3 linked regions of the Nothobranchius furzeri genome follow. The protein of the gene in region 3 interacts with the protein of the main gene of each other region in a biochemical or structural test. Links are inferred from orthologs where the notes say so. Each region holds a gene or a part of one and is shown on either strand. Other genes may lie near its edges.

Region 1 (3,952 bases), on a different chromosome or scaffold from region 3:
TGACAACAAACCACAGACCTAATCTTTATCTCACACACACACACACGCACACACACACACACACACACACACACACACACACACACACACACACACACACACACACACACACCTCGTCTGGTGAGATGATGAGTCTGAAGTTGAGGAGGTCATCATCATCTGGAAAGCTGATCTCACACGTCTTTGGCAAATTCAACTCATTGATGTCTGAAACACAAACAGATCATTTTAATTATAATTAACTGGATCAGCACCAACAGAACACTTTGAACACAAAAACAGACCACATGCACGTGACTGGTTTGGACAGCCGTTTATTTAACATGATATCTTAAAAACCAGAGTTCCAACTTCAGAGACAACACAGGAATTACAGGGTGACCTAAACTTGTGTGTTTTTGGGCATTACCAAGTCAGACGTCTGAGAGGGCAGCTGAAGAACATGGCTGAACTCCAGAGACCTCTATGAACGTGTTGTGTAGAAATGACTGAGGTGTCAGTAAGATGATGTACAAAACAACTTTCGACTGATTAAACAAACAAGAATCTCTAGTTGATTTACATTCCAACCCTCACATATGGTCGTGGTAAAGAATGACAAAACAAGATCATAACAGGCTGCCAAAATGAAATTTACACAGTGAGGAGTTCAGACATTCAAGGAGGACTGAGTAGAACCGCTGCTTCTTCTCATCCAGAGATGCCAGCTGAGATAGCTCAGACTCGGGAATAGACATAACCATGTTGGACGATAGGCTGGCTCATTTAATACAAGGACTTTAGTTGAGTAGAATGTGGCAGCAGGAGGTTGACATCAGCAAATATCCAAACAATGCCTTGGGGTCCCATCAAAGGAGCTAATGATATAGGCTGGGATGGAGACAGTATGGGTAAATGCTTTAACTACTTCTATAGCCTGTTCCAATAAATAAATAAATAAATGCTCCACTTGCAAAAAGTGCCGCAAAGGGAGCATTTGATCATTCATAAGTGGTCAGCCTGTGGCCATAATGGGGTGCAATCATGTTTTTCACAAAAGATCACATGGTTGCTGTATAACAGGGGTGCTGGGTGATCTCTGTGTCATCATGGACATCCTTTTAACTTGGACATAACTTGTTTTTATCTCTTTTGAAGCCACAGTCCTTAAGTTTTTTTTGTGAGCCACCCCAAAAGGGGAACTGTCCTGTGATCAGATCTTCAATTCTAACAGCCAGGATCTTCTGGATATCTGCACCACGCCAGTTTGCCATCTCCGCTGACACTGTTTGCAAACACGACAGGGACTCCCCATGTTAACTTGCATTTGGAAAATTATTGCCAACCAGGGCTTAGTGGACATTTCATCCATGACCATGGCATCCCCCTCTGTTGCAAGAAGTCATGAACTTCATTCAAAAGTCCAATGTTGCAATAATAGTACAATCAGGTTTCACGGAACGAACTACGCAATATTCTCATCTCGTCAAGCCACCATGGTGCATTCCAAAGAACCACGTGGCGGCAGTATTACCCTGACGTGCTGCTCCAGTGTGTGTTTTGAACCCGGCTCATGCGTCTTTCTAAGCAACGCACTGTCCAGTAATATCACACCTTGGGTCTCTTCTTTGTTCTCCATTTTGCCTTTGCCATCTACTTTTAAACTCTTCAGGGACTTAGGGGTCTAGTTTCAAAAACTAGCCTTTCACAGTGTTTGTAAACAATGCCTCAGTTGCCATGCTACTGCATCATATAGGTGCCTGAAACCCTGAGGCCAGAACAGCACCCTCATAGGCGTGTATTTGAGTGCGTTATCAAAAGTGTAAGCAGTTTAACAGTCATAATGGACAGATGTTAACCCTACCTGCCAGTTTGGTGAGATGATTTCTTGTTGAGGAACCATTTCAATTTCTCACCACCTGACAGGACCAACTAGGTGTCTAACACCTGGGGGACAGGGGCACCTGCGGGTGTTTGACATGACGAGCTCAGTGTGAGCTGGTTTAAGGACAGGAACCAGGCAGGGGGGTGTTTCAGCTCCACTTTAAATGAACGACATACACTTTGACCTGGGCTATCTGACCACCAGTCAGTCACACCTGAAGTTTGTGACAGAGGGCTGACACAGCAAGTTAGCTTGTCCAAAGCTCCCACCAACGCGTAAAACCCGACTAGAAAACAGTGTTTGTGTGGGCTGTTAATGAGGTATGCGTAATAAACATGTGTCTTATATCCTAACGATTGTGTTCTGATAAGGTGGCCCCAAATCGTTACGGAGTTGGAGCGTCTCTGTTTTGTTTTCAAATACAGCAGCAGCAGCTAGCCGTTGTTAGCTTCTGAATAGCCTGCTACCAGTTAGCTGGCCTGAGTTCACGGCTACCGGGCACTAAACGGCTGTGTCCCCCGGTAGTTTGCCAGTAACCGGACAGTCGGGAAGCAGGAAAGACTGGCAGGGGTGCTGAGAGGGTGGTGAGGTGGGAAACCAGCCTACCTTTCTGTATTCGAAGCTGGGCCGCGCTGGCTTTTTTGCCCCCGGCTCCGGCTCTGTTTCCTCCAGCAGATTCCTCGTCTTTCTTCTGCTGCTTCAGGGAGAACAGCTTAATCATCTTCACTTGTTCGATAATCGGAGGCCTAAACTCTTGAGTCCCTTTAGTGTGCGAACTCCCCGTGTGTCCTGAGTGTTAACAGAGCCAAATGAGCCCGAACTGCACCGTAATGTGGATGGAGCCGGTGCGTCTCAACTAATCACACCGAGCTAACCTAGCTGTTAGCCCGCAGGAGAGGCCGGGTGGGGAGGAGGGTGCAGACGTCGCATGGATTGGTACGTCACTAATTGCGCCATATTGGAGAGGTAAACTGGTAAGGACTGTCACGTGACTAATAGGCAAGCCTGAGGCCAACCTTGATAGCAGAAGGGTCATAGTTAGAAAAGCCATAGTTATTATTGTTTTTAATATAATTTCGTTATTTAATATCTATAATTATTGCACACTTTAATTGAATTTATATTCAGGATCTATTTTTTTAACAAAATACATTAAGAAAAAACTACATATGCCAGTAGACTAGCCGTGATGTCATCACGCAAAAGGCGGGGCCAAGGTATATTGCCTGCCCATATTTTATTCACTAGGTTTATTTTATTTTATTCCTTACAGACCGGTGTAAAGATGCACACCGTAAGGTCACCTGCGTGATATGATGAATGCGCTGGTGAAAGACATGTCATGGTTGAGTGGCATTAATGATAATCCAGATCACGCACATCACGCAAACAACCGCTGCACAATAGACACGAGAACAAAAGCCGCGCGCTGCGTTTTGCTCATATTCATGTTAATGCGCGGGGACTAGTTCTTGCGGAGGGTTACACGTGCGCGTAGATGTTAGTGAGAACGAACCCTTTGCGTGTTGTTGTGTGCAGTTGTGTGTGTGTTTTTGTATGTGTTTGTGTTTTTGAAGCCTCGCGGGAGGAAGAGGAGCAGAACGTGCTGAGGGGAGAGTGAGGCAGTCTCACACTGCAGACAGAGGGACAGAGAGGGGAGTGAATGGGCACGACTCAGTCAGCATCACTGTGCCCTTCACTGTATCCTAATCGATCGGTTCGGCTATCGAGACATTTCGACCCTGCACGGGTCCGTTAAGGCTGGCCCGGCCTGGGAGCTCGCCGGAGCAATGGGACGCGAATGAAGCAGCCCGAAGCGAACAGCAGCAGCCCGGCGGAGGAACAAACAAGGAAGCGCTTAGCTGAAGCTAACGGCTCGCTAATATTGATTCTGATGAGTGAACGAGGACCATGCGAGCTGAAAGGAAGAGGTGAGAGGGCGCTGTGTGTGTGCGTGCGTGCGTGTGCGTGCGTTTTCAGCTCAGTCAGTGTAATTCCTCTCCACCTGCCTAATTTACTGTTCATTATCACTGGATACTAAAAGAGGAAGCAACCGCAGGGGGCGGACAGTCTACTAGCCTGCTAACA
Region 2 (4,221 bases), on a different chromosome or scaffold from region 3:
CTCCGCCAAATACCGAAGAACTGGAACAATGTCCGTCTGCTACTAGATTCTTTGCCTGTTTTGCCCGCCTTCATCTCCCGGCAACGGACAACAACTTCTGGGATCAAATGCGCTGCTTCGTGTCTACCGCAGATGTAGAAAATCACCGGGAGAGTTTCTCCCTTCATAAAGGAGCTTCTTTCAGACATTAGGAGAGCTGTTTTTGTGGTAGCAGTCTCTCCTCCATGCTGGTCTGTTTGCTGCTGGGTATTTTTGGTTTATTTAAACTTGGTAACTTGAACTTAATGTTGGTAAAGCTACTGTTAGCATTTTCGCTAACAGCTTCTTGCGATAGGATAAGCTGTTACGATTTGGTTTAGAGTTCATCTTTTTTGTGGCGTAGATCTCCCTTTTATTACATTTAGAGTGTCGTGGGTTTTCGGTTTAGTTTAAAATTTCACCTTGAGTTTGGTTTAACCACCCAGTTTAGAGTTTGGACCTTTGGAGATTCTTATTTTGGTCCAGAACCCAGTAATCTTTGCCCTGCGGGACATCCCTAGTTATTTGTACTTTTGTTTTAATTCCCCACAGGCAGAATTAGTTTTATTATTCCCAACCTGTGGATGGAAAGATTTATGGTTTTTTGTTGTTGTTGTAAATAAACCTGATCATCATTTTAACTTTTAAATCCTGTGTTATTGTCCCTTCCTTTTTGCACACGAGCCAAACTCCCCAGGAAGGGTCGTAACACCACTCGCCTCACGCACATAAGTGACCAAAACAAAGCAGCATGGAGACACCGTCTCCAACCACCCCTCAGGCAGCAGCCTGCACTCCCAAGTCCTACATCACCATTCTTTGACTTGCTCTTTAAAACACTTTTGCAGAATTTCATGCTTTTACTACAAAATGTGCCTTTTCAGTTTCTCAAGTTCATATATTAGGGAAAAAAAGACAACAGCTTGTGTAAGTAACAGTTACAAATTAAATGCTGCAATAAACATACAGCAGGGTTCATTTATGTGAACATATCTGTTAAAGCAAGCACTGTAACATCTGCGGTTTAAAGATATGGAGAGGTATTTGTCAGAGCTGCAAAGTTTTATATTCATTTATACATTCCTACAACAACTTGTGGTTGAAGTTCCTGCAAAACAATGTATTTAACACTAGGGCTGCACAATATTAGGAAAACCTACGATGCACAATTACAGTGATTATTTTTGCGATGATTATATGACTTGCAATACATAAATAGTAACTCAAGAACAAAAAAAATGTATCAAAAACCAAATCATAAAAATAAAATAAAGACTCAGGGGATCCCAGGAAAAGAATAGTCGGCAGAAAGAGCAGAACACAGCTAACTCTGGTGTTTGCTAGCCATCCAAATGAAGTGCTGTCTACCTAGGTGGCGGTATCTAACCTATAAGAACTCACCCAATTGGCCAAACAGGTGAAGGACTATTTGATCAGTCAAAAACGTAATGCTTCAGTTTGACTGACAATATGCTTTATTATGTGTAGAAAAAAATTAAGATGATCCTTTATTGCAGTTTTTTTCTGTTCTTTGCAATATGAGTATTGTGTATGCTGATAGTGTGATGACGATACATTTGCGATGCACAGTGCAGCCCTATTTGCAACACTTTTCCTCTTTTATCTTCAGTACAAATAAAATTCAACTTCAGACATGACATCATTGTGCAACACAAAATGTTGTTTTATAGACATACTTCCAGAAAATAAGGACAAGCTGTTTAGTTTAGCAAACACATAATAACTACAAATATTAAAAATACAACACAAAATGGACAAAAACGAAACTAAATCAAATTAACTCAGTCCACAGCCCAAGTAACCAATCTACATTTGCATCACACACAAAAGCACAGACAGCAAAACACGGTGCTTGAACAGAAATTAAGCCTGTTATTTAACATCTCATGTAAGGAAGCCTATTATATAAATACACACCATGGCCTGTTCCAGTGCCCCATTTGCCATTCCATATATGGCAACACTGACTCTAGGGTTCAGTTTTGGCAACAATCGAGCAGCTGTCATTCAGCGAATTTATACGTCGTCATACATAATTTTACAAGGTAAACTAAAACGATAAATGTGACTGATAAATTAGTGATCAAGAACAAAATCCAGGCAAGGACTACACGTTACAACCGTTAGCAGGAAAGCTAACCTCCCACGAAGTAACAGTAACAACTTCTTACTCCAGAGTCCTTATCAAAGTTTCAGGATTAATATGAAAAATGTCAGACGAGCAGGATGTAATAACCCAAATGAAAGCTTAATTGGGTAGTTACGTTAATGTTAGCCAAGCACAAACCGGGCCACCGTTGGTCAGCTCGCCTTTGTCTTTGAATTATTTTTTAAATGAACAAAACGCTCAACGGCGTAGCTAGTTCACCTCTAAAACACCACACACATGTACTTTATCAAAACGGTTCGAAAAGAGGAAGAAAAATCGAATCTGAATCATGTCTTAAACTTAATAAATATAAACACTCACCTTCTGAATTCTTTTCAACGCCATTGCTTCGGCGGCTATGCTAGGTAGCCTGTCAGCTAACAGTTAGCACCTTAGACATACAATTTGGATTCTGTAGCCGCGTTCTATCAAACCTCACTTCAGTTACAGGTATGAAATTACGTCTAACATCCAGTAAATTTCGGCTTTTTCGCTCTATGACAAATATTTCCCCACGACCTATTAATTTTCGGTTCGTCAGAGAGCTACAAAACAACTTAGATATTTAGCTTTCTATTCCTCTCTCTTCTCGGTGCCGAGAAAACAGTTACTATCGCGAGCTTTCGTTTAAAAACTACAATGGCACTGTCGGTAGTGTCACGATTTCTATTTTAAGGGTCATTTTATTGACTACAGAACAGAGGCTTTAAAAATATACATATTTACTACTCAAGTTTAGATACTAGGGGGTTTAAAGACTTCTGTTGAAGTTGAAGGATCAATTCAAGCATGATACTTGGGTAGAAGTAAAAAGTACAGGTTTCAAAAGTGCTTAGGCTTATCGAAAAAGCGTATAAAAATACTAAGATTGACAAATATGGGATACACTGGGCCCCCAATTCCCTCTTCAGTTCAGTAAAACATTAATGCATTTTAGTGACATGAAAATAGCTACTTACTGCATGTGGGTGATAGATGAATGATTACTTATTTTCTAACCCCAATCAAATTCACTTTATCCAGATGGGCAATTTCGCAATTTTGTCTTTCTGTATTTTGTTTTAACAATGGCAAGCCAAAATTTAGTAGGAGTGATGAGGCTGTTGTTAAAGAGCAAGTCACCCCAAATCAACCTTTTTTTCCCTGATAAACTATATAAATGCGTGTCTAATCATGCTGCAGACACATGCAGTCAATAGTTTTGCACTTTAGTGCAATTTAGTTAAAATTTAAATTTTCTGCCTAAAACTGTCAGTGTTGTGCTGTTGTCGGGTAAAAACTCTGCACTGCATTTGAATTTTAATTAAATTCAGTTCAAAAATACGTTATTAATCCCAGAGGGAAATTGATTGCTGTAGTTGCTCAGAATCTGACACCGCTATTGGCTAAGAGGTACCGTAGGACGTTAGCTGGTACCATATCCAATCCAATCCAATCCAATTTTATTTATAAAGCGCATTCACAAGGCATTACAACCAAACAAGGCGCTGTACACTAAAAATGTTGGTTAATTAAACAGGCGTTATATAAACATGTCGAACACAGATAAAAGATAAAAAGGAAATACAACAAAATTCCCAAAAATAACAGCTAAAAATCAATAAGACACAGGGTGAAGTAAAAATAGGAAAAAACATTTTACAAAGAACCTCAATAATACGGAAGTCGATAATTGTGGAGTCAGTTTATAAACAGTGCAGATGTCAGTGAGGTTCATAATTATGTTGTATAAGCTAGGTTGAAGTAGTGAGTTTTCAGGCGTGATTTAAAAATGCTAGCTGTTGGTGCTAGCCTCACTAGCAGTGGTAATGCGTTCCACAGCTTCGGTGCACAGACAGAGAAAGCCCTCTCTCCACGGCTTTTTAAACGTGCATTGGGAACAGCTAGGAGGAGCTTATCTTCAGACCTGAGAGCACGCGGCGGGTTGTAGTAATGGACCAGTTCACACAGATATGGAGGAGCTTGATGGTTCAAGGATTTGTAAGTGAGAAGCATAATTTTGAAGTTTATCCTGAACTGCACGGGCAACCAGT
Region 3 (3,560 bases):
ATCAAAGCATCCCGACGGTTAGGAATGATGTTGGAATCTGGGATAACCTTGTTTCAGCTGGAACTTCATTTAACAGCAGGTTGATCTTTTTTTTTTATTGAAACGGCTGCACTGCTAGATTGCCCCTCCCCCCTCGTATTAAGATATGAACGTTTCTACAGCCATTTAATACGTGGTTTAACCTCTGTCTGTCTCTGAACACAGCCGAACTCTCACGAGCGTTGGCATGTTTTGTTATTAATCTGTTATAAATGCAAATAAAAGGATGTCTGTCTCACCCTGTTGGAAAAATATTCACAATAAAACTATTTAAAAACATTTTGTTCCATTTTATTGGTTTTTAAATTAATCTGATTATTAAATAAACTAAATTAAATAAGCATGTGAGTTATTTCATTATTCAGGCGGTATGTGTAGTCCAGACGTTTAATCCAGCTGTGCTGCTTGTTTTGTAGCTTGAGGATTACAGCCGTGTCAGATCTCATGTCATTCCACGTGGCTGTAGATGCTCGTGACTTTCGTCCCAACACAATGTACCTCATGAACTAAACTATGAAGGTGCATGGTTGAGCATATCATGTGCACTTAATCTAGTTTTACGACTTCAATTCAAATGTGATTACATCCTCCTGAAGACTGATGGTTTTACAGTTTATTGAATTACAACATAGCAAAACATGTAAAATAACATCTAGGTATATGAGCAGGAAGCAAAATGGAAAGTGAAAGGTTGATGCTCGCAGAAGCCAAGGAACAGGTCAATATCACAACTAGTGTCCGTATCTGCGAAAGAAAAAACGAAAATGTGTTTGAGTCAAGCATCAAACAATCCTCAAAATCATATATGCATTAATGGATCCGACTCACTTCTGAAACTCCCACTCCCTGTTGTCCAGGGGACACACCTGTCTGGTCTTCAGCCAACGGGAGATACAGTGGAAATGGAAGGCATGCTATGGAAGGTAAGGAAATGTTTAAACGACTGGATAGCAGTTTAACAAAGATGCAAAGACTGAAAAATAAGTGATCTGCACTTGTAGAGTGCCTTTCAGAGTCAAATGACCCATATCTATCATCCTACTGAAAGTTGCACCTTAGAAACTCACATTGCAGACACCCCAGGCCACAGTGCACTCTTCTGAGGTTGCAGAAGCTTGGTTGGCCTGGCACTCTATGCCTGATGAAGGATGAGGAATTGTGTAAGAGGGCTGCCAACAACTCACATGCAATCAAACACCCCTATGTGAACTTACACAGATCCATGATGTGGTTCCTACAGATAGCACAATTATCCACCACTATGTCCCAGGCCCACAGTGCAACAGCATTCCACTGGAACAAAAATCACATTCTGTTCATAGGAAGGTAACTTAAAATGAAGGACCTCATACCTGGAAATAAAAACCTTAATTCTATGGCTCATTGTAGGGTCTCTGACATTCAGTACTAATTCAAAGTTATCTTACAAATAAAGTTTTTCAACCTTTGATTAAAAAATGCTTCCATGGACACCTCAATCTAGAAAAGGAGTTAATTAAAATCTGATTAATAAAATCCTTCTCTATCAGTACCGTTACTTTTAAATTATGTAATGAATAGGAGAAAAAAAACCTTGTCATCAAAACTACTTAACATTTTATCCTGAGGAAATGTGACAGTCATTTAAATACTTTAAATCTTGGGAAATTTCGAGATGTACAGCTTAGCTGACTAAGCTAATTTAGCATGTAGACTAAGAGATTAAAGAGGTATTTGTCCATTTTTAAATCGTGCTGTTATTGTGTAACTACTGAGAGTTTATCATCGCTCTTATTTCTCTACAAGTTCTAGTTTAGACTTTAAGGCCATAAACAGAATAATGATTAATTATTTCTTGTAGCAGGCTAACAGCTAAACACCGATAACGGTGTTTAGCAAGCTAGCGTTAGCTAATGTTGGGCTAAACCTTTCGGCGTTGCTGACAAAGTGCACCGTTTAGTTTAGTCAACACAGACAAACTTTCAACTATCGTACCTTTTTCACTTCAAAGCGCTTCTTGCTTGCTCCACTATTTGTACCGCTTGGCGTGTCAACATCCATTGCTGCTGCCATTTTGAACTCTCCGGAAGCGTTTATCTAAGTTTTACCGGAAAATAGCGTCACTTCCTGTTCGACCAGATTAAGCAAATTTTCGAAAGAAAATATTATTTTCTTAATAATTTTTGAAAAAACAAAATCAGGTTGTATTTCTGAATTGTTACCGTTGACACTCTTAATATTTGAAGAAGTATTGGTTAAAAGGTCAGGTTCCACCGAGATTTGAACTCGGATCGCTGGATTCAGAGTCCAGAGTGCTAACCATTACACCATGGAACCCCTGCTTATTAACATTTCTCTGTAAAGAATTTGTTAAATCAATAGCACATGTATTGCTTTTATTCATTGCTTTTACACACCCTTAATTTCTCATGCAAAAAAAAAAAAAAAAAACTTCTCATGCTGTATAGAAAGGTGTATCTATCTGAGCTACACACTGCGTCATACTCATCACACTACTGTGTACCACACACTCCCCTAGCTACAACGCTGCAAATGAGCGAGAATGGGGAGTTGACGCCCTCCAGTGGCAAAAGACCAACATAGCAGACATAACCTGTAACATAATAGAAATGCGGTTCTTTATACTGGTTGTTCTTTGTATATAATAAACTTTTAATTCAATTACTTGCAATCTGTCGTTTTATTTGATTGACCTAAATAATGCAAATAAATATATCCATCAGAGTATTAAAACACCTGCGTACTCAATCCTTTAATTTGCGCTCTCTGCTGGAGAAATCGGGTTGCTGCAGGTACTACATTCATACAACTTAAAAATTACGATTTTTAAATTGGCGTTAAAAACACAGTTAGTATAAAATCGGAAAATACACAATAAAACAATTTAACTAATGAAACTTGATAAATGTATTTCAGTTATTCGTGTTAAACAAGATTAAATCAATAGGCTAAAGAAGCTAGCTATCAGCCCCACAAACATTCGATTATACGCCCACTGGCGGCCACAGGGCAAAACTACATCTACGAGAGGACTTCATTTGCTTCCCATTTGGAAGCATGGGCATGGCTGGCTTCGCTAAGATTTAGAGGGATTTTTATTCATTTTAAAAATGTAATTCTTAATAGGTGATATGAGATACATATATTTAGGTACTAATATTTTTATCAGCATGAGTTTGTCAAATCAAACCCGTCTGATGTAAAACTATTAGTTCAAGACCAATAAACACCCAACTACATCTAATAAACACACACAGGGACATTCGTGTAGAAATTATTCGTTATAAGGTACAAATTTTTCAAACATGAGAACTCAATCTTTTAGCATTATTATATTTTCCCTGGCTGTCGTGAGTATTTTTCGCCCTCTAGCGGCCGAAAACTGTTACTACAGGTAGCGTTCATAAAGCTAAACAAAGCATTACACTTCCTGTAGATTCCTTCAAAACAAAACATACCATTTAAAATTATTAAGGGTTTTAAAGTGGAATTAACGGCAAAGTTAGTATAAATAACAGGAA

Evidence for each region. The genes of interacting proteins can lie anywhere in the genome.
Region 1: the proteins of rbx1 (region 3) and ube2m form a complex in vitro, tested with the Homo sapiens proteins (15 studies listed by BioGRID and IntAct, with this or other methods). The link is inferred for Nothobranchius furzeri from reciprocal best matches to the Homo sapiens genes RBX1 and UBE2M.
Region 2: the proteins of rbx1 (region 3) and ube2d4 form a complex in vitro, tested with the Homo sapiens proteins (2 studies listed by BioGRID). The link is inferred for Nothobranchius furzeri from reciprocal best matches to the Homo sapiens genes RBX1 and UBE2D4.

Annotation. Positions count from the first base shown.
Region 1 is NC_091745.1:29,824,603-29,828,554, reverse strand, and holds the start of ube2m (NEDD8-conjugating enzyme Ubc12), read right to left. Parts: upstream 2,801-3,952; 5' UTR 2,586-2,800; coding exon 2,471-2,585; intron 208-2,470; coding exon 113-207; intron 1-112.
Region 2 is NC_091757.1:38,230,430-38,234,650, reverse strand, and holds the start of ube2d4 (ubiquitin-conjugating enzyme E2 D4), read right to left. Parts: upstream 2,801-4,221; 5' UTR 2,534-2,800; coding exon 2,510-2,533; intron 1-2,509. UniProt on the Homo sapiens protein: Accepts ubiquitin from the E1 complex and catalyzes its covalent attachment to other proteins. In vitro able to promote polyubiquitination using all 7 ubiquitin Lys residues, but may prefer 'Lys-11' and 'Lys-48'-linked polyubiquitination.
Region 3 is NC_091752.1:65,786,342-65,789,901, forward strand, and holds rbx1 (E3 ubiquitin-protein ligase RBX1), read right to left. Parts: upstream 2,150-3,560; 5' UTR 2,092-2,149; coding exon 2,014-2,091; intron 1,333-2,013; coding exon 1,254-1,332; intron 1,178-1,253; coding exon 1,107-1,177; intron 954-1,106; coding exon 868-953; intron 784-867; coding exon 771-783; 3' UTR 638-770; downstream 1-637. UniProt on the Homo sapiens protein: E3 ubiquitin ligase component of multiple cullin-RING-based E3 ubiquitin-protein ligase (CRLs) complexes which mediate the ubiquitination and subsequent proteasomal degradation of target proteins, including proteins involved in cell cycle progression, signal transduction, transcription and transcription-coupled nucleotide excision repair.